4 linked regions of the Lonchura striata genome follow. The protein of the gene in region 2 interacts with the protein of the main gene of each other region in a biochemical or structural test. Links are inferred from orthologs where the notes say so. Each region holds a gene or a part of one and is shown on either strand. Other genes may lie near its edges. The genes, in order: SGIP1, EPS15, NUMB and FCHO1.

Region 1 (7,875 bases), about 4.8 Mb from region 2:
GGTCTGATCCCCATCCCATCCCCACTTCCCATGGCACCTCTTGGGGATTTGATCCCAATCCCATCCCCACTTCCCACCCTGAGGCATCTCCAGGGGGTTTGATCTCCATCCCAATCCTGCTTCCCACCAGGAGGCATCTCCAGAGGGTTTGATCTCCATCCCATCCCCACTTCCCATGGCACCTCCAGGGGGTCTGATCTCCATCCCAATCCTGCTTCCCACCAGGAGGCATCTCCAGGGGGTTTGATCCCAATCCCAATCCCTCTTCCCCCCCGAGTGAAACCAAACCCGGCAAAGCCATGGAATGCTCCTGCCCCATGGAAGTGGAGGAATTTCCATTCCTGGAGACACCTTCAGCGTCCTCCAGCAAGGCTGGGGGGCTGGGGAAAAAAAAACCCTTTTGCTTGTTTTTTTTGGGGATATCATTGGGACTTTTAGGCATCCATGAAAAAGAAACGTTTTTCTCGCATCTCCCAGAAGAATGACAAAATATTCCATATATTGAGCACAAATTGCTCATCCTGCGCCGTTCCCAACCCGGTGAATTCTCTTTTTTCCCAGGAAAAGGCTCCAAAGAGGATCCATGAGCCAGGTCCCTCCTGCTGCCCATGGGTGGCCTCAGGTCCTGCACCCACCCTCCACTGCCAGCTCGGTGTCCACCACTCCAGCAGGACAAATGATTTAAAGAATTAATGACAGTACTAATTAAACCCCTTTAAGATGCTCTGCGAGGAACTCTCGGTGTTTTGAACACGTTTTAAAGCGTCAGCTCCAATTAAGCCATGCTTGTCAAAACCATGGAGTTAATTGTATTCATATTAAATAAATCTAAATATTCGATAAATATAATTTTATTTAAAAATTAAATAAGGGGCCAGAGTTTCAGTGGCATCTCAGATCGAAGTTTCACTCTCCCACAAATCCAGCCAATTTCCAACTATTTCAAAACTGAAAAAACCCAGGAATTAGTTCTCATTTCCCGACTTCTGTTCTAGGTTTGCATCAGCCACTTGGGGAACGTTTCGAGCTGTTTAATAATTCCATTTTTATGATGAGTATTTAATTTTTCCCCGTGCATGACTGGGTCATGGAAGGTGATTCCACCTCTGCCAGATCCAGCCCTGGATCCATCTCCAAAACTCCTGCCAGGCCAAAACCCGCGAGGAATAAAACCAAACCCAAAAGAAACCCCAAACCCAAAAACCCCAAAGAGCCTCAAAACCCCAATTTCCTTCCCCCAAGCAGCCTGAAAACCGAATAAATAACTCCAAGCAAGGCCTACAAGGGGACAGCTCCAGTTTATCCACGAGAACTCCTCCCTGAACGCCGGAATTTCGGGAGCAGCCGGGATTTTAACGGCATTTTCCCCGCCATGACCTGCCTGTCGTGGGATGGCTTTGATGTCACGGGCTAAAATTAAAACCTCTCTGGCTTGTGACTCTCATCAGCACCCGGGAGAGCAGGGAAGGCTTCTCCTGGGATCTACAGCACAACAAAACTCATTTTCTTCCCACCAAATCCTCCAAAACCCGGCCCAGGAGAGGCCGAATTCCTGAGGCCAGGGAAAGATCCTGAACCCACAGAAATCCCACGGAGCCCCAGGCCTCTCCCGCTGAATTTGGGCAGGGGCAGCCCCAGATTTTGGGATAGTCCGGGGAGCGATTTCCCAATTTCTGCCTGTCATCCCGGGGAGCTCCCCGGCTTGGAAGAGGCTCCGCCGAGCCAGGCCCTGCTGCTGCCACCAACGGGCCAGAATTCCCCCAAAATTCCATCCATTTCGCTCCTGCTGGCCCTGGAGGATCCATTCCGCTAAAATAAAATTAAACCCGAGGCATCCTTCCCCTGCATCCTGCTCCAGAAGGAATTCAGATGATAAATAATAAAGGAGAGCTTTACATACGGCCGAGACAGACGACAGAGGATAAAATTCCTGTCATGCCCAGAGGCTTTTCCCACACAGGATCACACACAGCTCCCCGAAGCATCGGAGCCCAAATTCCCTCCTCATCCCCGTGTTTGTTTTTTTTTTTAATGCCGAAAAACCCCGATCCAGCATCTCCGCGGCTCGGCAAGGAAAATAAAAATCATCTCGAGTCCGGATTCCCTCGTTTCCCACCGAAAGGATGCTCATCCACCCGGCCAAAAGCACCGAATCCCCTCCGGCAGCCGCGCATCCACAGCGGGATAAGAAAAAATCGGGATTTCGGGATGCAAATCCCGGCGGAGGAAGCGACAGCTCGGCGGGATAAAAAAAAAAAAAATAAAAAATCGGGATTTCGGGATGCAAATGCCGGCGGAGGAAGCGGCAGCTGGGCGGAAAACCGGGAATGGGCAGAGCCCGAGCTGCCGACCCAGGCTGGGGATGGAATTGCAGAGACCTGACGGGCTCGGGGCTCCATCACCGGCCCGGCGCTGGGCTCAGCCTCCGGCCCTCGGGATTAGGGGCAGCGGCGCATGGAGCGATTATTGAGGGAATCTTTGATTCGGGAAAGGCTCGAGCTCCCCCCAGCCCGCCAGCAGCCCGGGGGAGAAGGCGCCCGGCTCATCGCCTACCTTCCATCATGGTGGCAGAAGCGCATTCCTCAATTGCCGGGGAGCCTGGAAAAACGCAGGAGAGGGCGAGCCCCGCTCAGCAGCGCCCGGCCTCGGCTCTTCCCGGCCGGGAGGAGGAGGAGAGGAGGATGAGGAGGAGGAAGGAGCGGGGAGCGCGGCTAGGGGCAGGCCATGGATGCTGCGCCTGTATCACCTCCAGCAGGGCGGGCGGAGGATGCTGCTCGCAGGAAGGGAGGGCGAGGCGCTGCTCACATGCGCGCTCGCTGCCGGCACACCCCCGGCAGCGCTCCAGCCTATTTCCCAGATTTTGGGGATTTTTTATTCCCCCCAATACACACACACACACGCTTGCCCCAAAAACAGAGCCCCTGTGCGCACCTCGTGACGCACTTCCCCTGCCCTAATCCCATTGCGGGCAGCGCGATGGTTAATGCCCGGCCCGGCGGATCCGGGATCCGGGAAAAGGGATCCGGGAAAAGGGATCCCGGGGGAAGAGGGGAAAGGGATCGGGGGAAAAGGGAAAGGGGAAAAAGGATCCCGGGGGAGGGAAAAAGGATCCTGGAAAAAGGGGACTGGGGAAAAGGGATCCGGGAAAAAGGGGACTGGGGAAAAGGGATCCCGGGGGAAGAGGGGAAAGGGGAAAGGGGGAAAAAAGATCCTGGAAAAAGGGGAAAGGGATCCCGGGGGAGGGAAAAAGGGATCCCGGAAAAAGGGGATCGGGAAAAGGGATCCAGGGAAAAGGAAAGGGGATCGGGAAAAGGGATCCAGGGAAAAAAAGGATCTCGGGGGGGGGAAGGGAAAGGGGATCGGGAAAAAGGGGATTGGGGAAAAGGGATCCCGGGAAAAAGGGATACGGGGGGGAAAAAAAAGGGAAAGGAAAAAGGGGATCCCGGGGTGGAAAAAAAGGGATCCCGGGAAAGGGGATCGGGGAAAAGGGATCCGGGAAAAAAGGGGGATGGATCCCGGCTCAGGAGCAGCGGAGCGGGGCCGGGCACGCCGGGCCCTCCTGGCAGCCGCTGCCGTGCCAGGGCCAAACCCAGCCCGGGCAAGTGTCCCAGAGATGCCACCCTGCCCCGTGTCCCCCCGGTGCCAGCCCTGCCAAGTGTCCCCCCATGATGCCACCCTGCCCCGTGTCCCCCCGGTGCCACCCCTGCCCTGTGTCCCCCCACAGTGCCAGCCCTGCCCTGTGTCCCCCATGGTGCCACCCTGCCCCCTGTCCCCCCATGGTGCCACCCTGCCCTGTGTCCCCCCACAGTGCCAGCCCTGCCCTGTGTCCCCCCATGATGCCACCCTGCCCTGTGTCCCCCCCTGGTGCCACCCTGCCCCGTGTCCCCCCCTGGTGCCACCCTGCCCTGTGTCCCCCCCTGGTGCCACCCTGCCCCGTGTCCCCCCGGTGCCAGCCCTGCCCTGTGTCCCCCCATGATGCCACCCCCCCATTCCCGACTGTCCCCGGAGCTGTCACTGCGCTCAGCCTCAATTCTGGGGATCCCGCCTGGCTTAGCCAAGAAAAATCGGGATTTAAACCCGTCCCTGGCAGACCCAGCTCCCAAACTCCGGATATTTTATTATTCTCCCCTGACAGGAAAGGGGCTCGAACCCTGTCCAGGGCCCCGCCGCTTCCCAAAAAAATCCCGGGATGGGCACCGTGGGTGCCCGGAGGAGCCGCCCCTGCTCTGGGGACAGCCGCGCGTTCCGCCGCTCGGAGCGCGGATGGAAAACCCGCCCGCACCAGCTTCCTGGGGATCATCCCGGCAGCCCCCCGTGCCCGTCGGGGCTTGTCCCCGCTCAGGACATCATTTTTCCCCATTGAAAAAATAATAATTTTTTTTTTTAAAGGCATTTTTCATTCATGAAAATCAATTTTTTTTTTGCCCGATTAAAATAGCAAAAAATTAAAAATAAATATTTTTTTCCCCCTCCTGTTTAAAAAAATCAATCTAAAAGGCAAGCACCTCCAAGGGTGTGGGGAAGGCAGTTGTGGAACGGGATTATGGAACAGATGGTTCCTTTAATCCCTGCCAGGAGCTCCTGTGACCTCCCTGCCCCGCTGCCAGCCCCGTGCCCCGCGGAATTCCGGCGGCAGTGCCAGGCTGGGCACAGCCCGTGGGATGCCGCCCCCGAAACCGCCCCAGGAGCCAGGCTGGCACCCCCGGCAGGAGATGCCAGGGATGCACGGGCACCTTCCGTGCCCGAATTCCTCCTGGGCACACCAAAATAACACAAACCCCCCCAAAAAAAATTCACGGAGCAGCTGCGGGGCCCCGGAATTCCCATCGCTGGCAGTGCCCGAGGCCAGGCGGGGTCAGCAGCGATCCTCGGGGAGGGTGGCAGGGCTGGCATGGGATTTAAGGTCCCGCCAGACCTAAATCCGGGAATTCCGTGACCCCACATCCCGTGCCAGCCCCTGGCACGGCTCCGGGGGCTGCTGCTCCTCGGGAAAACGAGGGGAGCCGGGATTTCCCCGCAGATCCCTGCCCAGGCCAGCCTGTGGCTAAAATACCCTTTTGGCCAAAATCCACCCGGGAATTTTGGCTGCTGCTCCCCCCAGGCAGCTCCAGCTTCCCCTGGATCCGTGGGGCAGATCAACGCTGTGAAACTCCTCCTGCCAGGGGGGCTGACCAAAACCCCCCTCCAAAATTAACCGAAATAACCAAAATTAACCAAAATGAACCCACAAAGCCGCTCCTGGAACGGGCTCTTTCCAAGATCAGCTGGCACAGGGAGAGCCTGGGGGGGGCAGCTGCCACCAAACCCCTCTCCCCGAGGCAAAGCCGATATTCCAAAAACCGGAATTCACAATTCCACTCCCAAACCCCCCCACAGCCCCGCTGAGCTGCCTCAAGGACAATTCCCATGCCAAGCCCCGGGAATCTCCAGCAGCTCCCGAAGGAGAGGCACGAGGAGCTGCCAGCAGCAGATGAAGCCAAGGGGCTGAGGATGTAAAAAAAAAATCGAAAATAAATAAAAAACCCAAATAAAAGCGGCAGCAAATGAGTCAGGGCTGCATTACTCATCTGCCGGCGGAGTCAGCCGCGGCTCCATGTGACAGCGCGGCCCCGCAGAGCGCCGGGATTTGCTAAAAAAAACCAAATCCTCGGCCCGGGCAGGGCAAATCCCGCCTTGGGAGCGCCCAGGGGCGGCTGGCACCGCCCTGCCACGGGCCGGGATCAAATCGGGAACCGGGGCGGCCGCGCTGCCGGGAGGATCCCCGGGAATTCGGGAATCCGGCCCCGCTAAAAGCGAATTTCAGGGACAAGGGCAGGGCCACCTCCCGCTGTCCCGGAGCTCCAGCCCGGCCCTGGGCACTGCCAGGGATCCAGGGGCAGCCCCAGCTGCTCTGGGCACCTGGGCCAGGGCCTCGCATCCCCACGGCCAAAATTCCTTCCCAGTATCCGCCTAAATATTCCCACTCCCAGCCATTCCCTGTGTCCTGTCCCTCCATCCTTGTCCCCAGCCCCTCTGCAGCTCTCCCCGAGCCCCTCCAGGCCCTGGCAGAGCTCGGAGCTCTCCCGGAACAATTTCCAGGAGTTTTTCCCCAAAAGAAGGAGGCTGGGAGAGGGGAGAGCCCCAGGAGGAGCTGCCCCAGCCCCACACGAGGGGCACGGAGGGGACCAGCCCAGCCCCAGCTCCCAAAATCCCAGTGGCACCTCCAGGAGCCACCCGGGCAGGCTGAACCCCAAGAGGGAGCGCCCCAAAAGCTCCCGGGGCGGCCCCAGCCTGTGCTGGGGGAACAAAGGATTCCCCGAGCATCCCGGCAGGAACAGGGACCCCAGCCCCAAAACCCCAGGGGAACCCCTGCACACCCCGCAGGGGATCCCACCTGCTCCTGCTCCTCCTCCCCGGCTCCAGGATCGCCCCCGACCCCACCTCCCCCCTGATAAGCGCGCACTAATCAGGGTAATTAGCACCACCCCCACGGGCACCAGGTGCGGCTGCCCCGGCATGCTCCAGGACGCTGAGAATTGATTAATTTTTATTCTTCAAGGAAAAAAAAAAATAAAAGTGTTCAGGAGCACTGGCAAAGGCCTCGTGCAGGCCTGGGGGGCTGCAGCCATTTCACACCACCCGAAATATGATCGAGCCCCTTGTGGGGCTGATCCCTGGCAGCGGGAGCCCGGGATGTGCTTTGGGATGGGATGGGATGGGATGGGATGGGATGGGATGGGATGGGATGGGATGGGATGGGATGGGATGGGATGGGATGGGATGGGATGGGATGGGATGGGATGGGATGGGATGGGATGGGATGGGATGGGATGGATCCATCCCCTGCGGCCCCGGGCTCAGTGCTGCCGGTTCATCCCCTGCCCACGCCACTCCAGGGCTCTGGAACGGAGCTTTTGCCTCCTTTAGGGGAAATTTCTCAGCTGTGTAAAGAAATCCAGAGAAACAAATTCTGCCCTGGCAAAATCCCGAGCTTCAGGAATGCCCTTGCAGCCTTTCATTAAAATTTATTTTGTCTTTGGGTAGCGGCCTGATCACCTTTGGGTCTGCCTGCTTGGACCACACCAATAAAGAACATTGAATGCTTCTTAAAATTAATTTATTCCCGGAAAAGAAACGGGATGGGGAGGGGGCAGAGGTGGGGGGCGGTGCTGGGAAACATCCGGGGCAGCAAAGGCAGAGGCAGCCCCGGAGCGTCTGCTTCCAGCTGTGTGGGATTCCAGCTGTGCAGGGACCCAGCTGTGCGGGATTCCAGCTGTGCGGGATTCCAGCTGTGCGGGATTCCAGCTGTGCAGGGACCCAGCTGTGCAGGGACCCAGCTGTGCGGGATCCCAGCTGTGCGGGATCCCAGCTGTGCAGGGACCCAGCTGTGCGGGATTCCAGCTGTGTGGGATCCCAGCTGTGCGGGATCCCAGCTGTGCGGGATTCCAGCTGTGCAGGGACCCAGCTGTGCGGGATCCCAGCTGTGCGGGATCCCAGCTGTGCGGGATTCCAGCTGTGTGGGATTCCAGCTGTGCGGGATCCCAGCTGTGCGGGATTCCAGCTGTGTGGGATCCAGCTGTGCGGGATCCCAGCTGTGCGGGATCCCAGCTGTGCGGGATTCCAGCTGTGCGGGATTCCAGCTGTGCGGGATCCCAGCTGTGCGGGATTCCAGCTGTGCGGGATCCCAGCTGTGCAGGGACCCAGCTGTGCGGGATTCCAGCTGTGCGGGATTCCAGCTGTGTGGGATTCCAGCTGTGCGGGATCCCAGCTGTGTGGGATTCCAGCTGTGCGGGATCCCAGCTGTGCGGGATCCCAGCTGTGTGGGATCCAGCTGTGCGGGGTCCCAGCTGTGCGGGATCCCAGCTGTGCGGGGTCCCAGCTGTGCGGGATCCAGCT
Region 2 (7,501 bases):
AAGAGACTCAGACAATACTAACTTAGCCATTTTAATATAAAGCAAGCTTTCACAGACAGTACTATACTTCATAACTATACCTTTAGACTCTTAAAGATATATTTGTTTTCTCCATATATTTACTCACCTTTTCACTGAACTACTTCTTTCCTTGAAATGGTTGATATTCTTCTCAAAAGCAAACTAGGTAAGTAACTGTAAACTTGTGCAGCCTCACTGCCAGCTTTTTAAGTTTACTTCCATGTGCTTAAGCAATTTATTAAGCTCATTTACCCACTTTGCTTTCTGTAAATGTCACAACTAGCTATCAGATTGAAGCATCCCAAGCCAGGAGAGTGAACCAAAAGGCCCACTTCAGCCTTATGTCAGGTAGGAATGTAAATTTCTCATCTCACTGCTAAATGAAATTAGAAAGTATCAAAAAATGTCATTCCTTAGCTATTGCAGCTCTAGGGAGTAAGACATGATCCTAATGATGTAGAATACCCTGTGTGAAGTGATTCCACTACTGTCAGAAAAAAATGCGAGCAAGAAGGATTGAGGTGAAGTGAGATGACACGAGCATGACACAGTGCCACGGTCTCCAAGTTTTAGGGCCACCACCTCCACAGCTCTTTACTATGAGGCACCTGTATGGGCACTATGTGACAAAAATGTCCCAAAACCACGGGGCCCACCTAAACCAAGGTAAAACGATCCCGCAAGCAGCATTTGCGGAGCCAGGTTTCTGCTAAAACAAGGAATCCGTCTATCCCTCCCAGGGCCACCTGCCCATGGTCTCGCTGCCCCGGAGCACCCCACGATGCCGGGTGTGCCCGCGGGGCTGGCACCGGGCACGGACACCTTAACCCGGCGCTATCGCCTTTCAGCCCCTCCGCCAACACTCCCCGGCTCCGCCCGCCCTCCGTTCCCGGGACGGGGCTCGCTGGGCTCCAGCCCGGAGCCCCGAGTCCTACAGAGACAAAAGACGGACGGCGGCCGCCGCCGGCGCAGCCCCGCCCGCCCGGGGCCGCTCCCGGCCGGGTCTCCTGCCCCGGGCAGAGGCACCTGCGGCCGGGCGGGACCCGTTCCTCGGCCGCGGCACCCCCGGGTCGCGGCGCCGGGCTGCCCACCCGCCTCCCCTCGCTGCCGTTCTCCCTCCCTCCCGCACACACGGACACACCCCCGCCCCGCCGCCACCTGACAGCGGCGGGGCAGCGCTGCGGGGCGGCGGCGTCCGCACAAAGCGCGGGCCCCGGGCAGCCCCGCGGCGCGGCCGTGCCTGGGCGGGAGCGGGCGGCGGCGGCACGGCCGGGCCGGGCGCGCAGCCCCTCACCTGTGCCAGGGAGAGGCGCGCGGCCATGCTGTTCCATGCCCCCGGCCCGGCCGCAGGAAGGACGCGCCGGGCCCCGCCACTCGCCGCACAACTTCGGCAACTTCCCCAGCCGGCCCCGGGCAAATCCCGGCACCGGATCCGCGCCCGCCCGCCGGACGGAGCCGGAGCCTCCCCCGCCGCCACACGGCAGCGCAGCCGCGCGCAAAACCGGGCGCGGATTACCGGAGCCGGAGCCCGCTCGAGGCAGCTGCAGCGAAAACCCGGAGCCGGAATCATGGGCCTGACACGGAGACCAACATCCCCCACTGCCAGCTCCCGGCCTCTCCCTCACCTTCCCTATTTGCCCTGCTTCTGCTGGAGATGCTTCCAGCATGGTGAATGGTTGCAGTTCTCCAGTCCAGTCATGCCACAGGTGGGGAAGTCCCAAAACAGGAGGTGAAGCAGGTCTGGTCTCAGTTGCAACAGAATTGGGCACAAGGCCCAGGAGGAAGCAGCGCGTGAGCCCAGCAGGATGTCCTGACCCGACGCATCCTCACAGCGGTGAGGAGCAGCCCTGGGCTCGGCCTCCTGCTTCCCTCCACTCACAGGAAATCAGATGCCTGTCCAGGCAACTCATGGTTGTACGCATCCTTCTGTCTCCCTGCTTGTACTCAGGGCAACAGTGGCTCTTCTGGGGCGGGTAACCAGAAGAAAGGGATGAGCAACCCTTATGGCAGGAGAAACTATGAGACATTGCAACAAGACACAAAGGAGCAGGCTGGAGTGGGGAGTAAACTGCACCACATTCTCCAAACCCATGGGAAACAATTGTGTACAGACAGGCTGAAAACAATACTTATGTCACCGCTCATTCTCCTGCTCCTGTACCTGCTCACCTCCTCCCACTGGCTTATTTCCACTCCTACTCTGAGCTCTGCACTACCTCAGCATACATAAGTCACTGAGGACCAAGAGAAAATGTTTCTATTTTTATGCTTTACCCCAAGGTGGTTTAGGCACACATTTAATCTTGAAATATGCATTTGGACTAGTAAGAAAAAATTAGCTGAAGTCATACTTGATTATTGGAAAGCTTTCCCTACATGCTTTGTTTTCTTTATCTGTTCATAATTCTATACCCCTCTGCATTGTTTTTGTCCTCCTCAGCTCAGTCGTGTGCTCATGCCCCACCTCTGCATCCTGTCATTCCTCAGCTGGCAGTCATCCTGAGCTGCTAGTGCTCATCATCTGTCATGAAATGTGGGATCCCTCCTTCCCACCTATTCCTTTATAAAGGTTTTATAGAAGCTCTGCCTTATCAACCTGTTTCTCAGCCATTTTTTCAGCAAGAAAAAGAAAATATGGAGGGGAAGAATATAAACAGCAAACAGAATAAATATAAAAATATTCACACCATTCACATACTCACTTGTCACTTCTCTACTCCACCTCACACTTCTCTCATAAGCAAAATCCCTAGAAAACAGCACAGACTTTATATTTCTAGGTTTTTTCTATATCTAGATTTATCTTTATATTTCTAGATTTATCTTTATGTTTCTAGATTTTTTTCTTCTTTGATTAAAATTCGAATTCTATCCCAGAATAATTAATACCTGGAAATGAAACCAGAAGATTGTAAAGCTGCAGCTGTGTCTCCTGGAGAGAGCAGGATTTTTGGGAGGGGGCCCCTTAGTGGGCATTTGGAGAGCCTGAATTTCTGAGCAGCCATGAGCTCATTTGGGTGCCCTTTGCTCTGTCAGTTGTTTCCTTCATCTTGGAGCCTTGCAGCTTGGCAGGGACGGGTGGCCTCTCAGGAGAGAGGTTACACCCAGGCTGATGTGTTCTGCAAAGAGAAGGAAAATGCAAAACAGGGACCTGGGATCTGGCTCTGGAGTTGGAGGCTTGATGCAGAGAGCTGCTGTGAGCAGGATTTTGTGGGCAGGCTATCTGGCTCAGTAGTGTTCTTGCTGCTGTTCTCTTTCTCTCCTGGGTGTTGCATCAAGTATTTCCTACCAGGTGCAGGAAGGGACCCAGAGCTGCAGCAAGGCTCTAGAATACAGGTGCTGAGTCAAGGGACTTGTGCCAGTCAGCCAGCAGAGCTGTGTCACCCCAGAGCACAATGAAAAGCCCCAGGTCCCCTCAGAGCAGAACACTTGTTCAGTAGGGAGGTCTGCTCCAGCCAAGACCACTCCTGAAGGCCTGATCTCCCTGAACTTTGTGTTGGAAAATAACCCCCCATTTTACTTCCTCAAACTGTGAAGGGCACAGCAGTCCACATCCAGAGCACCTTTCCATAGTGTTCTCCAGAGCTGCTGCGGCAGACTCCAAGTTGCACCTGCAGCTCAGGAACAAGCAAGCACTGCCAGGTATGTGGTTATGTACCTTCACCCTGGCTCTGCACGCTCACAGTCATCAGGCATGACCACTGTGTCCACAGTCAGAGGGCAAGAATCCCTCAAGGTAACCACTGTGGCCTCTACAAATTAAAACAATAATGAGTTTCATATAGTCAACACTGAATTAGTGTGGTCATGTAGATTTGTGCTGTTGTTGATCATTCTGTGCAGCTCACAGACAAATTGTCCTGGATGCCTCCAACCACCTGAGTTAAAACAACCAGTTCAGAACCTCAGACATCTCTATAACAATCACAACAGCACTTGTCAGCCTGCTGATGGTGAATGATTGTATTGCAGATTTTCACAAATCTAGAATGACAGCTCCCAGAAGAAAAACAACTCTCTGCTTCTCAGCTGGAATTGAGATGTCATCACCTGATATTAGATCACAAAACTGGACTTCATACTTACTTGCAGCCAAGAGAAAAGTCACAGCTACTAAAATTTACTCAAAGCTGTTGGCAGGTTTGCAAAACAATGCCCTCCAATGACCTTCTTGGCTTAGCCATGAGCAGCTCACCAGGGCTTGGCTAGTGTGGAAGAGCTCCTGAAATCTGGAATGGAGGGATTTTCTAAATGTACTTCTCCTCTTATTTCCTCCTCAGTGGAAACCCCATTCTTCTATCTCTTCCTTTGCTGACCCCATGAATCTTGACCTTTTGAAATATCTTCTGTGAATTTTGTAAGGAGTGGTGGGATTCTGTGCTGGGTTTTCAGGAAAGCTTGCTTGTTAAGAACATAAGAAAGACAAAAGATCAATGAACTGCAAGAACTTTAACAGTTTCATTTTGTATCTTTTTTGCATTTAACATGAATTCTCCTGCAGGAAATATTTATCTGTAATCTGCTCTGTAAGAACTGCTATATGATGTTTTGTTGCAAGATCCTCTACTACAGTGCACTTTATGCCCAAAGGACATGGAAAATAGTATTAGCATGCTTTTATTTGTAAGTGTAATAGGATTTTCTACAATTCTAAATACTGGCATTTTGACAAATAGGTACCAGATCTTAGTGTTCTTTATTGTTTCTTTGAAAGTACAATGCACAAAGTTATGTCTACACTGGACAAACAAGGGACTGCTAACAAATCAAAACTAGCCAAATGGCTGGTGAAGACTGGGACTTGCAGCAGTGCAGTGAGCACAGCAGCAGCACAACCATTTTGGTGCAAATCCCCACTGTGGAACACTGTACAAATGACTTGCTCTGATACAGCTGAATTTGAAAATGTGCAAGGTAGCACAGAAAGGCTCTCCACCACAGGCAAACACTAACGACCACTGTTCTATAGATGTCTAAATATGATTGTTAGTAAAGCTGGTAACATTTTAATCATCTACTGGTCCCCCCAGAAATAACATCTTAAGTGTCCATCTCTTCCTTTCCTAGAGCTTTGTTTACCCTATGGATCAGCACACGGGAAGCGCAAAACAGCACGCAGGCATTTAGTGTGACTTGTTCTGCTCGTTCTAGGAAAGGTGTTACTACAGCCCATGAGCACTCCGGAGGCTGAGAGAGGAATGACTCAGTCCTGCCTCCTGCATTCCTGAGCACAAAATGAGGTACCCAGCTCTCTGGAATTCCAGTGCAAAGCAGAGCAGTAGCTGCAGCATTGCGTATACAGAACCAAGGATTTAAAAGTAAGAAGGATTAAGCCACTTTGAGTTTTACAGAGCAAAAGGAAACATATGCATCAACACACAAAATCCTGGCCAGAAAAAGGAATCACTGTTCTATGATCAAAGACTGTAATGCAAGGGAATCTGCCCACAGGCAAACAGACATTGCACAGGTTTCAGAGAGCCAAGCAACAGCCATAGTCCTGGTACAGAACAGCACTTCCCACACTTAGGCTACTGAAAGATCCCTCCTGAGAAAGGAGGAAGATCATCACGCAGACTTTGACAACCTTTGGACTGAGGAGACCTTTTATCAGAAATCTCAGGGTACTTTCCAGGACTAGTGACACAAGCTGGTTTAGGAAGTCACGACTGCAGGCATGCCTTTATCTAGAAATCCACCCCAGGATATGCTTTGTGTGCTCTTTACATTTTATGCAGCTGCAAGTTTTCTAGACAAAGGGTTACAGATAGGCTGCTATGTTTTAAGGCCACAAGAGAACATTACAATCATCTAGCCAGACTCCAACTGACCTTCTGTAGAGACCTGTTAATTTCTGTGTTTCTTCTACATAAAACACGTAATCTGTGAGTCCTATAGTGTATCCTCTAGGAGGATGTCTATTTTCTGGAGTATGTACATTGATCGTTATGAAAACTGCATAGGAATCACCTGCTAATTCATCTTGTGCTGTGCTCTTGGCTTCTTAATGTGGTTTGCACACTTTCAAAGTTATAGCAGCTTTGAAAATACTTCAAAGTGGGTTGAGAGATGATCAAATTTATACAAAACTGTAGCAGTATTAAATAAACACAAACTAGGATATTAAGATAACTGCATATTTGTTCATCTCTAAAGTGTTTTCTGTTCAGTTGTTCAGAAGTATTTGAATATATCTGAATTTAACTCCTTCATCTGGCAGAAACAAAGTATGGAATTATTGTACCTCTTTGTTTTGCAAAATGATGTAATCTATATTGCCAGTATTCAGAAAAACAAAGGCTAAAATTATCTTTTAACCGTAGTAATTAGAAAGAATAATATTGAATTTTTATTAAGAGAATGGTAAAATTGAAAATAACCTGAATAGGGTTTGAGTGAATCTCTTTAATCATATCTGATGGAAGTGCTGGCAAATCTGAAATGTAGCAGTACAGATCTGCTATTTTAAAACATATACCATTTATCTTTTCATTAAGACTGTAAGCATCTTTTCTCAAACTAATTTATATTAGCCAGTTTCATGGGGCTACACTTCATGTTGTAAAATAATAAGAGAAAACGTAAATATATACAAGAGGTCAGCTTGAATTCTAGATAATTAGCTGAATGACTGACAGCACAATGACATTTTTCATTCAAGACCATATTTGAAACCCAGAAAAATCTTCAATAGGCATTAATCTGACATGTCCAGCTAATGTAGCAGTTGGAGATTTCACTGTTCCTTGAACAGCTTAATACATGTTCTGAAATAGAACAAGCAATAGCACTGCTGAAACAGCATCAGTCTTCATTATAAATTAAACATGTCAATATCGTAGTGTGTAGTGTATATTAAACCAAAATGAGGATTGAAAACTAATATATTTACAAAGTAGCAGTCAGAAAAGCTTTTACCAACAGTTTCTTCTGTTCCCTGATTCCTTAGGCATGTTGTCTATACTATAAATCCAGGGAACACACTGCTCACCTTTCTGAAACACTTAAAAGATTATTATGTTATAAGAAAACAGAAAATATAAAAAATATAATCTACACACTGAATTCCCAACCTTCCCCTAACCTAGAATTAGTTTACTCTGCCCTTCACAAAGATGATTAATTAATTTCAGAATTATAAGATACATGAATTAATTAGATAAAAGAGCACTTGGTATTTTTCTTCTTATTAAATGGTTTGTCTTTAAGACAAACACATGACTGTTAATGGTAAAAGACCATTTTTATGGAATTACTGTAAATCTTGATACTAGCAAGCTTTTCTTCTTGAGATTTCCTTACTTGTCTTCCCAATTATTTTCATCTTCTTATCTATTCTTACATTCTCCACTTTCCTTCATTTTCATCTGGTCTTAATTACAACCATAACAATGTCAAAATGTTTCAGAAAGTATTAAACAAAATAACACCAATGCAATAAACATTGGTCATAAGACAAAAAATAACTTTCACACATCAC
Region 3 (7,060 bases), on a different chromosome or scaffold from region 2:
CTGTGTTCCTGGCAAACCATTAATGTAAACCAGTCACTATTAGAAAGTTAAGCCCAGCTTAATCCTTCTTCTCATTATTACTTTGCTGGTGACCTTCCTTTTGCACCATCAGTTTTGTTCTCATGCCAAAACTAATACCTAGTAAGGATAAAGAGCATTTCAAGCCTTCACTAACAGGTTTGCTTAGCTGACAGTCTTTCTTACACAGCCTAGCTACATCCACTATGTCATCACTGGAAGGACACAGCTGGATTCTGAAGCCTGCTGCTCATTGTGAAAGCTATAAAGTTCACTGCCAGATAACAAGACTGAAAGCTAATTCAGGAACTGTTTCTCAAGAGCTATCCTCTGGCCTCCCTCGTCAGAGTGAATGCACTCACTCACTGAAGCATCTTTTGGCAGCAGCTTTGGCTTCCCTCCAGCTGTTTCTCTCTTTCCGAGGATCTTCTTATTCAGTGACTGGTTGTGGTCTTTAAGCCTGGTTATCTTGTACAAGGAGCCCCACTGAGAAAAGAAGCCTTCCCTGCCATGGAACAACCAAATTAAAGCACATTTGTAAAAATCATAATTAGAAGGTCCTGTCCTCCCTGTGAAATTATCTTTTTGGAGGGATTTGGAAGCACATGTACCATGTGACACGAAAGCAAATACATTGGAATTAAAGCTGAATTAAAATAATGTAATTAAGTAGGACTTTTGACTGAGTTTATTCAACCCCCTGACTGGGCATGTGTACTTTCAAATTTTGAAATAATTTTATGAGGGGTTTTATGCTTTTATTAGTTGCCATCTAGCATTCAGTAGCATTGAGCAGATACCATCTGCAGTGACTCCATAGGCAGTGATTAAATACAAAGTTCCAGACTTCAAGGCTCCAGTAGAAGGAGAGAAAGAAATGGCAATGAGGAGAAAATCCCCATCCTAAAATGAAGGCAAAGAGAACCTGAATGAAATACTTCTCCTGTGGGATTAATCACATCTAAAGAATCAAGGTAGAAAGTACAGTCAAACTCTTCCTGCATAAATCTTGTGCTAAAGAATATCCTTCTGATATGCCCAGACCATGGCTCTTGACAAGCTGTTTGGCTGATGTTTTTCCATGGAAGGCAGGTTTTAAAGGATTCTTGCTCCTCATATCCTTTCTGTACTAATGATGGCAACTGCATAGCTTTGCTCATTAAATACATTTATGCCCACTATTTCAAGATTAACATATCACTGTGCCAACATAGGGCAACCCTATTCAACACTTGCTTCTCCTGTAAGCTGTTCCTAGTCAAAAGCCTTACAAAAAGACTTTATGTTTTGTTTCCTATATTTAAGTTTTTCTGAAGTATTCTGAAATTGCTTGCTCACCTCAGATGCAGCACTACCAAGATGTAAATACTATGCAAACAGAATGCCTTGGTTTAGCAACCATATTGGTTCAAATCTGCTCAGAGCATGACAGGAGAAAGCCCCTGTAGTAATTGCTTATTTGCTTCGCATAGTAGATATGTATTGCTACTAGCCAATATGGCACCTTATAGAAATATTTTTGAACATTTCCAGTGCTCATCCAGACACACAAGCTCCTATTGTTTTATATATACTGCCGAAAAAATGGAATTCCTCTTTGTGAACATAGAAATGCATATATTTATACTGGTATGGCTTGTTCCTAGAAGGGATAACATGGTGAAGGGAGATTTAATCACTGACATTATTTTAGATACCCAATAGAGTAGAATGATGTTAAGCCTCTGGGTATCTGCAGTGGGGATAAAGGAGTTTGCATTGTCATGAATGTGTGTGTGATATATTCTCAGGTCCTTAGGGAATAGCATACTCTCCTGCTATCCCACTGAGTCCAGGAAGGATATTGGCTAGAAAGGCACAGTTGACAGGAGTCAGTGGGCATGACAGGGAGTCAAGACCATTAATCCTGTGTATTACACAGGGAGTCCTGTTCTTAAAGAAAAGGTGATAAGGGGCAAATTTGGTTTGGTTTCTTGTGAATGCTATGAAGTATCTTCCATTTCTTTGTTATCTATGAGGATCAAAGCATTTAAAGCATTTCTTCCAGTGTCAGACCTTGGAGAAGTAATTTCCCCCCCTCCCATGGAAGTGCTGTGGGAAGACAACACACTCAACCCAGAAGGTGCCTTGGACCCGCAGTGCAGCACTGTGAATGTGCAGCTTGCTATGTTGGATGCTTAGTGTGTCCAGCTGAGTGACCTCTAGGGTCATCTTCCTTTCCTTTCCCACCACGGCCCCCTTTCCCTTCAGTCACCAATGACCATACAGGGAGGTCAAGTTATTAGCTGAGCAGAGAAGCAGTAATGGCAACAAATGAATTTAGCTATCTTATAAATATTTGTAAAAGCTATAAATAGCTGAAGCATACATTGGATTTTATTTACAATAGCATGTCCTGGCCTTTTCCTTTATACTTTTCATTTAGAAGCAGAGCTTCTTGATAATATGAGAGTTGTTAATTTAGAATTAAATTTTCATAAAAAATAAAGAGCATCATGCTTTACAAAAATTTCTGTCAGAAATCCAGAGACTGTGAATAAGATGAAGTGTTATACTGAAGGTACTGGGAACGCAGTATTTAAGATCTATGATAAGTCAGGAATGTTTTCATAAAATCTGAAGAAAACTTGGGACTTGAATATTTGAGAGGGAAGGCAGCTCTCTGCCTTGATTTTGCTTTCCTTGGAAAGCAAAGGATATGCAAAAAGATGTAAGGAGAATCCCTGCATCTTCTCAGTTTAATTTATGAACAAGGGGTGACTTGGGGGTCAGAGCATCAGTCTGAAACTGAGTCAGTGTCATACTCATACTTCTGCCTGAGCACTTCCTGTATAAACTTGGTAAATTATTTTTGCACATGCTCTGAAATTCCCAGTGATTTCAGTTGCTTTGTTTTCTTGATGTTTGCCAGCTAACATTATGGCCCGCATTCTTTGCTGCTCTGTTTCTTTGCTTGATTCAGAAGCAAAGAGGAATAAGGGGGATGGTGTATGCAGGGAGAATATAATAATGAAGGGAAAAATCAGGTAATCGTTGCATTTTGATTTTTTTTTTTTTCCCCTTCTTCTTTTCAGCTGAATGCACCGGGAATCGTTCTGGCTTGCATTTTGGATGAAGCAGCTGCTTGAAAGTCTGGTGAGAGGAGGCAGCTGTTTGAAATACGCATTCTGGTTAACGCGTTCAGGCCAAGCCCCGTATGTGCAGTCGCAAGGGTGCTTCTCCCAGAGGATTCCCCTGGGTAACTTCCCTTTGAAGCGCAGCCTCCCTGCTGAATTCAGCACCTGCTACTGTCTCCACTTCGAAAATGGAGGCATGCTAGTGTTTCTGGGGTCGAAAGAAGGGTATCCTGAGAATACTGTGGTTCTCAGTCTCAGTCGTGGAGGTTAAAGGAGCCTGCTCGCGATTTTCGTGCAAGCCTGGCCTCTGGCTGATGTAGGACATCACGGTTTCCGGAGAGCTGGCATTAGCAGCACGTCTCACTGCAGCCCCCAGGGAGGGTGGCAGTCACCACATGTGGTTTATCGGGGGGGTAACCGAGGTGGCAACGGGGCTGCGGGAACCCTCCTCCTGGTGTCGCCACCGCCGCAGCCGTGAGGAGATAAGAACCACAGCGGAACCGAACCGCAGACGGGCGGTGGGAGGCGCATCGCCCCTTGACGCATCAGGGGTCGCCGGGGCCGGGGGGCCCGGAGGTCCGGGCGCTCCCCGGCCGCGAGCCCGGCGCGGCAGCGGCCGCCGCCTTCCCGCCGCACCGCGCAGCCGAGCCCCGGCGGGGCGGGCGCACCGCCGCAGTGGCACCTCGGGCAGCCAATCCTGGCGCGCCGTCCCCGCCGCGTCAGCCAATCGGAACCGACAGCGAGAGATTGGGGGCGCCAAAGCCCCGGCGTGAATAAACCACCCGGGACCTGTGGGGCGGGGATGGGCGGGGCCGAGGCTTTGACGGGCGGCTCCTCACACCAATCCAAAGGCCGGACCTCGGGGCGCCTGGCCAATGGGCCGCCGGAGTAGGCGTGGCTGGCGGCGGGGGCGGGAGCGACGGTCGGGGGGCGGGGGCGGAGCGGCGGCGGCGGCGCTGCTCGGTGGCGACGGGCGGCGGAGGAGGCGCCGGAGGGAGGCGGCTGCGGGTAGCAGGTGAGCACGGCCGGGCCGCGATGCGGGGAAGGGCCTTCGCTGCAGCGGCCGGTGGTCGGAGCCGCAGGCGAGCGCGACGGGGCCGTGCCAAACCCCGTGGGGCGCGGGTGGGTCCGGCGGCGGGGGGGGGGGCGCCGGAGGCGGGGGAAGCTTGAGGGGCCGGAGGGGATGAGGGGGGGCAGGGGTACTCCGGGAAAGTGCGTGCGGAGGCGGCGGGCGATGTGGGGGCACCCTCCGGCCCCCGCCCCGGCGGGGCGCGGTGGGGTGGGGCGCGATCCCCCGGTGCGGCGGAGCGGGGGCCCGGCGCAGGTGGAGCCTGCGGGGGGCGGCCGCGGCACCGAAGGGCCCTGCGGGGAGCACCGAGCCGCCGGCCCGAGGAAGCGACCCCCGGGGCGGCGCCGCTCCCTGGGATTCTCCCGGGGCTGCCTCCCGTGCCTGCGGTCTCTCCTAGGCCTTGAATCCCGGCCAGGTTTCCGTCAGAGGGTCCCTCCGGCGCGGCCGCTCCCGGGCGCTTTGTACCGCTTGCCGCCCCTGCGTGGCCGTGGGAGCGAGGGGGCTCCGGGCAGCAGGGGCTCTCCCGAACCCGCTGCCCCGTCTCAGCTGGGGCTGGGCTCTGTGAACTTCGGGAGGCGTCGGGACGAGGCTTTTGGGCGATGGTACTGACGTCCCGGTCTGGCAGCGGGAGTTGTAGGGGAAAGGGCCCCGTGGGCAGCGGGGCTCGTCTCTTTTCACCCGGTTCGTGGCTTGGCCGGTGCCTCGGTGCGTGTGCGGCAGCTCGCCAGGCTGCACAAAGAACAGGCGGCCGGGTTCGGCCCGTCCTGCGGGCCAAGGAGGGATGGATGAGCAACAGCGTGCGGGGCGGGGGCTGCGGTGCGCCCGGGGAGCATCGCCCCGCTCCGCGCTCGGTCGGTCACGAAGGGTTAAAATGCAGCTCCCGTTCGGAGAGCCCTTAATTCCTTTTATTGCGCTCTTGGAGATGAACATTCTTCAAGAATGAAATGATTTATCCCTCACAGTAGAGTTAATGTCTTGCAGCAGCTCTGATCTACAACTCCTTCGGTCCAGTAGATTTATATAACCTGCTCATTAATGGTTTATGAAATGATAAGGGAGCTTTTCTGTTTGCTGATGTGTTTTGTGTGTTGTTATCAATATTTCCTAATTCAGCTGTCCGGAGTAGGAGAAGCTTATAGTTGTCAACAATGTATATTTCTACCATTTAAAGGATTTCATTTTGCTCTTGTTTTGTATTTTTGATCATTCTGCATATCAAGATAGGCTCCTGAATGAAGAGAGTGAATAAAATGGAAGGCACAGTCATTCTCTTTGGCTACAGTAATACTCTAAGTATGACTTGTAACAAAAAATGTAAATATTTAAATGGATTTCTGACTCAGTTCTATTTGACTTATTGATCTATAGTTACTGCTAAAATGGTCTTTATGATTATGCGGAGTTAATAGTTACCATAGAGAAAGAGATTGTTTTTCTGTTCATCAGTGAGTGTTTTCCATTTCTTCATCTCTTGGCAATTGTCTGTGGAAGTGCTGTTTTTTTCCCCTTAGCAAAAGTCTTACAGAAGAAATAAGGATGTGAACAAAGTCCAAAACAATGAATTTCAGATGTGTTCATTCTTGCCTGTGATTCTAGGAGTCTTGGTACCCTGAGTTATCCTACAGTAAAGGCTTTTTAATCTGTAATTGCATATAGTGTTGGTTTTAAGCCTCAGTGAAAATTTAGATTTACAGAACTCTAAACCTAACACATAAAATATTTTTTTCCTAAAATATACATGAGAAATGAAATTCAAATGAACAATTTAAATCCTTACTAGCAGAAAATTTATTTTTTATCCTTGGAATTACTTTCCTGCATTTATTATTTAGCTTAAATGTGTGGAAACTGAAGGCGCATGTAAACTAGATAGAGTAGACAAGTTTGTTTATGTTTTCATGTAGTGTTGTGAAACCTTCTGATTTTTTGTTAGCAGTTTGGCAGCATTATGCATTTGGGAAGAAACCTAAACCAACAAGCCACATTGGGCTCTTAAAACTTGCCAGACTTCTAAATCTTACATTTTGTAGTTTGATAGAGCTGCTTGGTGTCGGAATGATCTGTAAGTAATTTTCTTTCCTACCATAACGGGTATGATGGATTAAAAACTTTCTGAAACGGTACTGGAAGTCTTTGCAAAAGTGCTTCCTTCCTCAGGAATTGAAGCTATTGGGAAAAATATACTGTAGTAGATTTTTTATTGTGTGTTTGTGAGAGCCTATTACAGCACTGTGAAGTATGTCTTGAATTCTGCCTATAGCTGGTTTTATTCCACTAGTAATATTGATGGAACTGCATAGCACTGGAAAAAAAATGCTCTAATGCTATAGAAATGTAATCTTTTGTACTCTGGAAAAGATGTTTTAAAGAAGCTGTCAAGTAAGAGACTGGCAGCCAAAGCTGGTCTTATTGGTGACTTTTTAGTTGTATCCTACTTACTGCACTCATCTACTTGTCTGACACTCTGCTGACTTTGTTCTTTCTTTAGGGGAGGGGTGAAAGTTCACTTATAGTTTTGTTCTCCCAGCTTATCAAGCAAGCTTGGTTTAAACTCATATGAAATCTTGTCCTTAGTCTTGTTTTTGGAGTTTGCTTTGATTGGTGAACATATATTAAAATTACAGCTTTCTTGTTAAGTCTCAACTGATCTCAAAATATTAATAAGTGAAATTAGACCACATTGCCTTTCTTTTCCTGCAGAATACCAAGCATAAATTCAATCAAGCTAAGACTTAACATGTCCTCTACAGTCATATTATTGAATTACCACCACAGCAGCTTTGATTTTTCTGCCGATGCTTTCACCAAAAGGATCTGTTTTCCCCTGTTAGTCTTTCTTTGCTGATCCAGCTGAAAA
Region 4 (7,875 bases), on a different chromosome or scaffold from region 2:
TGTCCCCCACCATCACCACGCCCTCGCTGCCAGCCGAGGTGGGGTCCCCGCACTCCACCGAGGTGGATGAGTCGCTCTCGGTGTCCTTCGAGCAGGTGCTGCCGCCGGTCAGCGAGTCCCCCCCGGAGGAAGGGCGGCGATCCTGCGGCTCTGGGGACGCTCCCGAGCCCGAGGCCACCAAAGGAGGGCTGTCGCTGCCGCTGCAGCCGTGCCACCACCCGCCCTGGGCTGACGGGGACATGGTGCCACGGCCCGGCCACCGCTCAGACTCGCCCCACGACGTGGACCTGTGCCTGGTGTCCCCCTGCGAGTTCGAGCACCCCAAGTCCGAGCGGTCGCCCTCAGCCGCCGCCAGCCCGCGGGAGCTGTCGGACAGTGACCCGTCGCAGGAGCTGGCACCGCCCCGGGGCCGGCCGGGCGAGACCCCCCCCACGTCGGTCAGCGAGTCGCTGCCCACCCTCTCCGACTCCGACGCCCCTCCGGCCACCGAGGACTGCCCGTCCATCCTGGCCGACGGGCTGGAGTCGGACGAGGACTCGGAGCGGCCGCCCCGCAGCGTGGCCCGAGCGTGTGACCCGCTGCCAGCCCCCCTGAAGGACCCGTGTCCCCTCCCTGCCCAGCCCGGAATCTGCATGGTGGACCCCGAGGCACTGCCCCCCGGCCGCAAGGAGCTCCCCGGCACCAGAGTGAAGAGGACCCCGTCCCACGTGGGCTCGGCGCCCGCCGCCCCCAAGGCCGAGCCCCTTCGTGTCCCCTCGGCCACCAAGGCCAGGCCTCCAGCCAGCTCTGCTGGGGACAAGGCCAGGCCGCCCCTTGGGGACAAGAAGGGCCCGTCCAGCGCGACCCCCGGCAGCGCCCGCGCCGCTGGAGCCCGGCCGGCGGCCGGAGCCGGGCGGGCATCGCCGGCAGGTACGGGCGCAGCACTCAGGGGTCTTTGGGGGCCCGTCGTGACCGCTGTCCCCCTGTCGTGACCGCTGTCCCCCTGTCGTGGCAGGCACGAGGGTCGCGTGTTCCCAGGGACCCCCCGTGTACGTGGACCTGGCGTACCTGCCCGGCTCCTGGAGCGCCCGCACCGTGGACGAGGAGTTCTTCCGGCGGATCCGCTCGCTGTGCTACGTGGTCAGCGGCGATGACCACCTGAAGGAGGGCGTGCTGCGGCCGCTGCTCGATGCCCTCCTCGCGGGCAAGCACCAGTGGGGTGTGGACATCCAGGTGAGTTCCCAGCCTGGGGCTGAGCAGGGTGGGGTCGGCTCCATCATGGCGCTGGGGGTGGCAAAGTGTCCTGGGGGGCTGACAGATTGCTCTGGGCATCCCTTCCCAGTGCCTGGGGGGGTGACTGGACATTGTGGGTGCCCCTTCGTGATGCTGGAGCTGATGACAAAATACCCTGGGTGCCTCTTGCTGATGCTGTGGGGGGTCACAAAATGCCCTGGGTGGCCCTTGCAGATGCTGGGGCTGGTGACAAAATGCCCTGGGTGGCCCTTCCTGGCACTGGGGCGGGTGACAGGGTGTCCTGGGTGCCCCTTCCCAGCACTGGGGGGCTGACAGGGTGTCCTGGCCGTCCCTTCAGGTGACCTTGATCCCCACCTTCGACTCGCTGGTGATGCACGAGTGGTACCAGGAGACGCACGAGCGGCAGCAGGAGCTGGGCATCACCGTGCTGGGCAGCAACAGCACCGTGGCCATGCAGGACGAGACCTTCCCCGCCTGCAAGGTGGAGTTCTGAGGGGGAGCACGGCCCGGGGGCCACCCCCACCCTCCCCCCGAGACCCCCACCCCTCTCTGAGCTGCCCCATGAGCTCGGAGGGGCGGGATGGGGACAGCAGGGGAGGTGTGGGGGTGTCTCCGCCGTGCCATGCCCATGCCAGCCACGCTCTGCACCCGCTGCCAGCCCGGGGAGGGGACAAGGGACCAGCTTGGCACGGGGGGGGGGGACACAGGAGGTGTCCCCCAGCCCACCCAGCAGCGGTGCTGAGCTGTTCCCCACGGGCAGCTCGATGGAACAGGGTAAATTTTGGTGTTTTGTTGTTTTGTTTCCTCCCCCTTTTCCCTGGATGAGCCACAGTTTTCTCCCCCAAACACCCCTCAAAATGGGGGGTGGAGGGGCTGGGTCTCGATTTTTTTTGGGGGGAGGGGACGGGACAAAGCTGGGACAACCTTGAGGGTCCCATCCCTGAGGGGGTTAGGGGGTGCTGCTGTGGGGTTGTCCCTGGTGTTTTGGCCCCACCCAAAATGGTTGTGCCCCCCAAAAAAACTGTTATGACCCTCCCCCCCCCCCCAAAATTGATTTTAACCCCCCCCTCACATGCAGCATGAGGCTGAGACCTGCCCAGCTCGCTGCACTGATGCCCCTTCCCACCCCAAGCCTTCCCCCACAAAATTTTTGGGTGGGGGCTGAACAAAGGCACCCCCCAGCCCCTCATTTTTTGGGGGGAGTGGAAAGCAGCCCCCCCCTGCCACATCCACCCAGGAGCTGCCCAAAGCTGTTCAGAACCAAACATCACGTGCAATTTTTAAGGGGTTTTATGAGAGGAGAGCACCAAAGGGGGGGTCAGGGCAGGGCTGGGGGGGCACAGAATGTGAGGACTCCCCCTAAATTCCCCCTTGGGACAAACACTAACCTGTTTTTGTAGGAGGCTCCTCGATGGTTCTTTTTGTAATGACTTTTTAAGATTAAAAAAAAAAAAAAAAAAAGACAAAAATCGTGAAAACTGAAGAAACTAAACCTTTTCTTTTTCTGTCAGTTTTTTTGAGGGGGGGGTTATTTATATTTGCTCCCCCCCCCCCAAATAAATGCCCATGGGGGCTTTTACCTTTGAATGTATCGTCCTACGTGTTCGGGGAGGGGGCACTGAATGTTTCACCTTTAGTGCTTTATATTGTTTTTTTCTCAGCTGGAAGGTTTGGAGGTTGGTGGGGGGCATTTTTTGGGGTGGGTGGGGTGGCTGTGACCACCACCCCACCCCAAAACCCAGCCCCTGCCCGTGACCACCAGCACACACTCCCCATCTTGCACACCACGTTCCCATTTGGCAATTGTGTGGAAAATGAGCATTAAAGAGGATCATTCCCAGTGGATCTTTGTCTCCTGGGCTGGTTTTTTTTTTTATGGGGGGGGTCCCCATGGATTTGGGGAGGGGGTGGAAAAGGATGGCTTGAGCTTGGCCTTTTTGGGGGTGGTACCATGAGGTGGGAAAGGGATTTTGGGGGTTTTTGGGGATGGGGGGGGTTTGCAGTTGCAGCTGGTGGTGGGAGAGGGGTTGGGGGATCTGTGGGGGGGTCCAGGGTGTGACCGGGGGGGGTTGAGAGGGGTCGGGGGGGTGGATGCGCTGCGGTGCAGCAGCGCCAAGGCTGAGGCTGGATGCGGGGTTGCCATGACAACGCCATCCCCGCATCCCAGCCCCGCATCCCAGCCCCGCCGCCCCCGGCCCCACCAGCAGCACGAGGAGGAGGAGGAGAGGGTTGCAGCCGTTGTCTTCGGCCCCCGCCGATTTTGGGGGGTGTTCGGAGCCTCCTCGGTGCTGTGGGGGTGTCCCCGTGTCCCTGTGCTCATCCCCCACTCTGCGTGGGCAGCACGAGGCTGGCAGGACCAGGGAACAAAAGCCTCTCAAAGCCCCCCATACCCACCCCCAAATTCCCCTTCGTCCCACCCCCCCAGCCAATCCCAAACGTCCCCTTCCCCAAAAATCTCCTCCTTGCCAGGCCCTTTGCTCCAGCGGGGGTATTTTGGGGAGGGGGCGCAGGGGGGGTCCGGTCCCCTGGAGCCCAGCTGTGACCCCCGGGATCGAGGCTGTCCTCGGGGCTGTCCCTGTCCCCCCAGCCCCCCCCGAGCCCCCCACTCTGCTGTTTCCCAGTGCTCTGACTGGTCCCAGTAGCTTTGGGTTTTGGGGAGGGGTCCCAGCGGGGGCTTCTCCGCCAGTGTCCCCTTTTGGTGGCTGCCGGGACCCGCGGGGACACCGCGGGGACCCCGCGGAGCCGCGGAGGTGACAGCGCCAGCAGGGGCCTGACCCTGGCCGAGCCGTGCCGGGAGCTGGGGAGGGGTCTCCAGCCCAGAGCCTCCGAGCCCACCGGCGCTCCGCGGTGCCACCGGCTGGGCCTGGCGTCGTACCTGCCAGGTGTCGCCGGGACAAAAGGCAGCGTAACTGAAACCGCCGCGTGACGTCCCCGCCGTGCCGGCTCCGGTGGCACCCGCGGGGCCGCCGCGTCCCCCCCATCTCGGCGGGACGTTCGGTGCATTCCCGGCGGGAATAAGGGAACGTCGCCCCCACCGGGAATGTCCCCCGCCCCCCGCCCGGTCCCTGCCCGCGGGGACGCCTCCGTGCCCGCTCCGACAGCTGCGCCGGTGACAGCCGGAGCCGGGCCATGAGCTCAGCGGGGTGCGAGGCACCGGCTGGCACCGGCGGCGGAGGCGGGGGAGACAGTCGGGGACCGCGGGTGCGGTGACAACCGGCGGGGTCGTGGCGGGGGGAGCCGCCGCACCGGGACCAGCACCACGAGCTCGGGGGCCGGAGCGCGTGCGGCGGCTGCAGTCCCGGGGGGGGCGGGGGGGGGGTGTGACAGCCTGGGGAGGGTGACAACCGGGGGACGGCGGCGGCAGCTCCGGTACCGGCAGCTCCGGTATCGGCGGCTCCGGCCGCGCATCTCCCCCCGCGCCGCTCCCGCCGCGGTTCTCGGGGCGGCGGCCGCTTTAAAAATGCAAATCAGCCCCCTCCCCGCGCGCGGCGCGGCGGCGCCTCGACCAATGGGAGGCGGCGGCCGCTGGCTGCGGTCACCGCTGCCGGGCGCGCTGACCAATGGCGACGCGTCTTGGCGGGAGGGGGCGTGGCCAGCTCCGCCCCCGGCGCGGTCCCGGCGCGGTCCCGGCGCGGCGGCGGCGGCGGCGGCGGAGCGGGGCGGGGGCGGCGGCCCCGCAGGTGAGTCCCGCGTCCTGCCCGGAGCGGGCACCGAGCCCCGGCCCCGCACAGGGGGTCCCGTCCTGGAGTGTCCCCGCCGCGCAGCACCCCGGCCCCGCCGTTCCCGCGCGGGTTCCCCCCGCCACCCCCGCAGCATCGCCCTCGCCGGTGTGCGGAGGCGCAGCCCCGTGCCCCCCACCCCCCCACCCGTGATCCCCCCCCGCGCTGTACACCGCGCCCCGCTGCGCCGCACCGTCCCGGAGCCCACCGTTAATAACGTCCCGGTGCACCGTGCAGCCCCCGCTGGCCACGAGCCCGCTCCCGGTGCTGAGGGCGGCCCCCCCGCCGCCTCCCCCCGCTGCAGGTGCAGGGCTCGGTTCTGCGCTTTTCCTCCTTTTTTATTTTCCGGGGTGCACGCCCCGGCTCCCCGCCGTGCTTCCCGTTCCCGGGGGGTTTTGGGACGCGCAGCACCCCCCGCCCCGATCTCCCCCCGCCTTCCCGAACCGGGCCCCCCACTCCGGTCGCCCCGCATCCTCCGGGGGCTCCCCGGCGCCCCGCACTGAAGGTCACGGCTGCGGGTGGCCCGAACCGCCCGGTTTTGGGGAGCGGGGGTCCTGGGGTGGCCCTGCCGCAGTCCCCCCACCCCGCACCCGCCGTCCCGCTCGGGGACTCGGTGGCCGCGGCCACCGGCGGGGACTTTGGCCGGCGGCGCGTTCGTGGCGTTCGCGGCCGCCCGGGGCCGGCGGGGCTGTGGGATTCAGCACCCCCCTCACGACCCCTCCCGGTTTTTCCGCCCCCCGTTTGTCGGGGGGGCCGCGCCGAGCCCGCCCCGCCCGTGACACAGGTGGCGGAGGGACCGGGCAGCGGTGGGGGGGGCTCGGGGCGGGTTTTGGGGGGGCTGCAGCGTTCCCTTACCCCCCCGTTTTACCCCTCCAGACCCCCGACACGCCGAGGATGCTCGGGGGGCCACCGCGAACCCCCAAACAGCCCAGGGTGAGTCGGGGAGGGCCTCCCCGGTGGCACCAACCAGGCGCGAATTTTTGGGGTTTCCTGTTTTTCTCCGGTGCATGATGGGGAGCGGGTTCGGGGGGGCACAGCCCAGGGTGGGGGGCACATCTGGGGTGGGGGGCACATCTGGGGTGGGGGGCACATCTGGGGGTCACCACACTGAGTGCTGGGGGGCTGCTCTGCTCGGGGACCCCCAGCTCGGCAAATCTGGGGAGTGGGGGGTCGGGACACTTGGGTCCTTTCTCCGGTGGGGCGGGGGTTCCCGGGGGGTGCGGGGGTGTCGTGGGGGAGTTTTTTGGGGGGCCCGGGGGCATGGGCAGGGCCGGGTGTGGGAGCAGCCGCCGCCGCACGCAGCAGCCGCTCATTTATTATTTATCTGCGTATCTGGTGTCGGGCCCAGCGCCGCCCCGGTGGCCCCGCCGGTGCCCCCCCCGGTGCCATCCCCGGTGCCCCGGGGTGCCGCACACCTTGGGGAGGGGTCTCTGGAGGAGGACCCCTGCGGTTTCCATGGCCACGGGGATGCGTTTTCCTGGGAAAACCGATAAAACCGGGTGGGTGCGACCCCGCGAAGCCCCCCGGTAAGGCCCCGGTGTCCCCCCCAGGCTGCCGGGAGTTGAGCTGCGGTATCCCCGCGCCGCTGCCCCCCCTCCAAGATGTCCTATTTCACCGAGCACTTCTGGGTAAGCTGGGACCCCCGCCCTTGGGTGCCCCCCGCCCTTGGGTACTCCCCACCCCTCCGTGGGTGCCCCCCATCCTCAGAGACGCACCCCGCCCTTGGGGGAGATGAAGTTTCAAGGCCCCATGCCTTCGTTAATGCTGTTGATTAATTAACTGGGGGGTGGGTGGGGTGGTGGGGGTGGTCTGGGAGTCTCCCAGCTGTGGTGACATCGCTGTGTCCCCCCCCCGCTCCCTGGGGACCCCCAGCCCCGAGGGGGAACAGGGGAAGTCGCGTGGCCGGTGCTTCCTGCTTCATCCGGCAGCTGCCACCACCTTCCTCTTCCTCCTGCCTCAGTTTCCCCTGGGGGTTCACCTGCACACCCAGCGCGGCTGGGGGAGGGGGGGGTCTGAGGTGAAGCCACTTTGTGGGTGGGGGGGCAGCACCCAAAATAACCCCAGGGGTTTTTGGGGTTCAGTCCAGCCCGTCCTGGGGAGCACCTGGGGCAAGTTCTGGGTAGGAGGTGTGGGGTTCAGCACCCCACTTTTGGGGGCTTGGGCCACTCCAGACACTGATCCCGGTGCTCCTGGGGAAAAGGGGTTGTGGGGGGTCCCTTGGGATTTGGGGTCTGAGGTTGGGGGCTCCCCTGGCAGGGCGAGAAGAACCACGGCTTCGACGTCCTCTACCACAACATGAAGCACGGGCAGATCTCCACCAAGGAGCTCGCAGACTTTGTCCGGGAGAGGTACCCGGGGTTGGGGACAACCTGGGGGCTCCCCAAACCCCTGGGGAGGGGTCCCCAAAATCCCAGCTCCACCCCAAATCCCCCTCCCCACCATCCTTCCAGGGCTGCCATTGAGGAGAACTACGCCAAGGCCATGGTGAAGCTGTCAAAGATGGCCACAAACGGGACCCAGCTGGGGTACGGGGGGGTCTGGGACACCTTGGGGTGGCTTTGGGGACCCCGGGTGACCCTTGTGGTGGCCCCCCCGGGCAGGACCTTCGCGCCGCTGTGGGAGGTTTTCCGCATCTCCTCGGACAAGCTGGCCCTGTGCCACCTGGAGCTGATGAAGAAGCTGCACGACCTCATCAAGGAGATCTCGCGCTACGGCGAGGAGCAAGGCCGGGTGCACAAGAAGGTACTGCCGTCCCCTCCCGGCCCTGTCCCAGTCCCCTCCCGGCCCTGTGCCCTCGCTGGGGTGCCCGGGTGGCCCGGCCCACGCCGCTGTGCCCCCGGCAGTCCAAGGAGGAGGTGTCGGGGACGCTGGAGGCCGTGCAGCTCCTGCACGGCGTGGCCCAGCTGCTGCCCAAGTCCAAGGA

Evidence for each region.
Region 1: the proteins of EPS15 (region 2) and SGIP1 form a complex in vitro, tested with the Homo sapiens proteins (2 studies listed by BioGRID, with this or other methods). The link is inferred for Lonchura striata from reciprocal best matches to the Homo sapiens genes EPS15 and SGIP1.
Region 3: the proteins of EPS15 (region 2) and NUMB form a complex in vitro, tested with the Homo sapiens proteins (2 studies listed by BioGRID and IntAct, with this or other methods). The link is inferred for Lonchura striata from reciprocal best matches to the Homo sapiens genes EPS15 and NUMB.
Region 4: the proteins of EPS15 (region 2) and FCHO1 form a complex in vitro, tested with the Homo sapiens proteins (2 studies listed by BioGRID). The link is inferred for Lonchura striata from reciprocal best matches to the Homo sapiens genes EPS15 and FCHO1.

The regions. Positions count from the first base shown.
Region 1 is NC_134611.1:5,294,587-5,302,461, forward strand, and holds the start of SGIP1 (SH3-containing GRB2-like protein 3-interacting protein 1), read right to left. Parts: upstream 3,008-7,875; 5' UTR 2,564-3,007; coding exon 2,554-2,563; intron 1-2,553.
Region 2 is NC_134611.1:10,084,284-10,091,784, reverse strand, and holds the start of EPS15 (epidermal growth factor receptor substrate 15), read right to left. Parts: upstream 3,013-7,501; 5' UTR 2,998-3,012; coding exon 2,911-2,997; intron 1,507-2,910; exon of another isoform or gene 1,343-1,506; coding exon of another isoform or gene 1,316-1,342; intron 1-1,315. UniProt on the Homo sapiens protein: Involved in cell growth regulation. May be involved in the regulation of mitogenic signals and control of cell proliferation. Involved in the internalization of ligand-inducible receptors of the receptor tyrosine kinase (RTK) type, in particular EGFR.
Region 3 is NC_134608.1:35,772,700-35,779,759, reverse strand, and holds the start of NUMB (protein numb homolog), read left to right. Parts: upstream 1-4,044; 5' UTR 4,045-4,149; exon of another isoform or gene 4,150-4,256; intron 4,257-7,060. UniProt on the Homo sapiens protein: Regulates clathrin-mediated receptor endocytosis. Plays a role in the process of neurogenesis.
Region 4 is NC_134630.1:7,889,020-7,896,894, reverse strand, and holds the start of FCHO1 (F-BAR domain only protein 1), read left to right. Parts: upstream 1-4,870; 5' UTR 4,871-4,913; intron 4,914-5,828; 5' UTR 5,829-5,885; intron 5,886-6,502; 5' UTR 6,503-6,553; coding exon 6,554-6,580; intron 6,581-7,208; coding exon 7,209-7,300; intron 7,301-7,402; coding exon 7,403-7,477; intron 7,478-7,552; coding exon 7,553-7,694; intron 7,695-7,795; coding exon 7,796-7,875. Other genes in the region: MAP1S (microtubule-associated protein 1S), read left to right, coding at 1-909, 995-1,212, 1,571-1,726. UniProt on the Homo sapiens protein: Functions in an early step of clathrin-mediated endocytosis. Has both a membrane binding/bending activity and the ability to recruit proteins essential to the formation of functional clathrin-coated pits.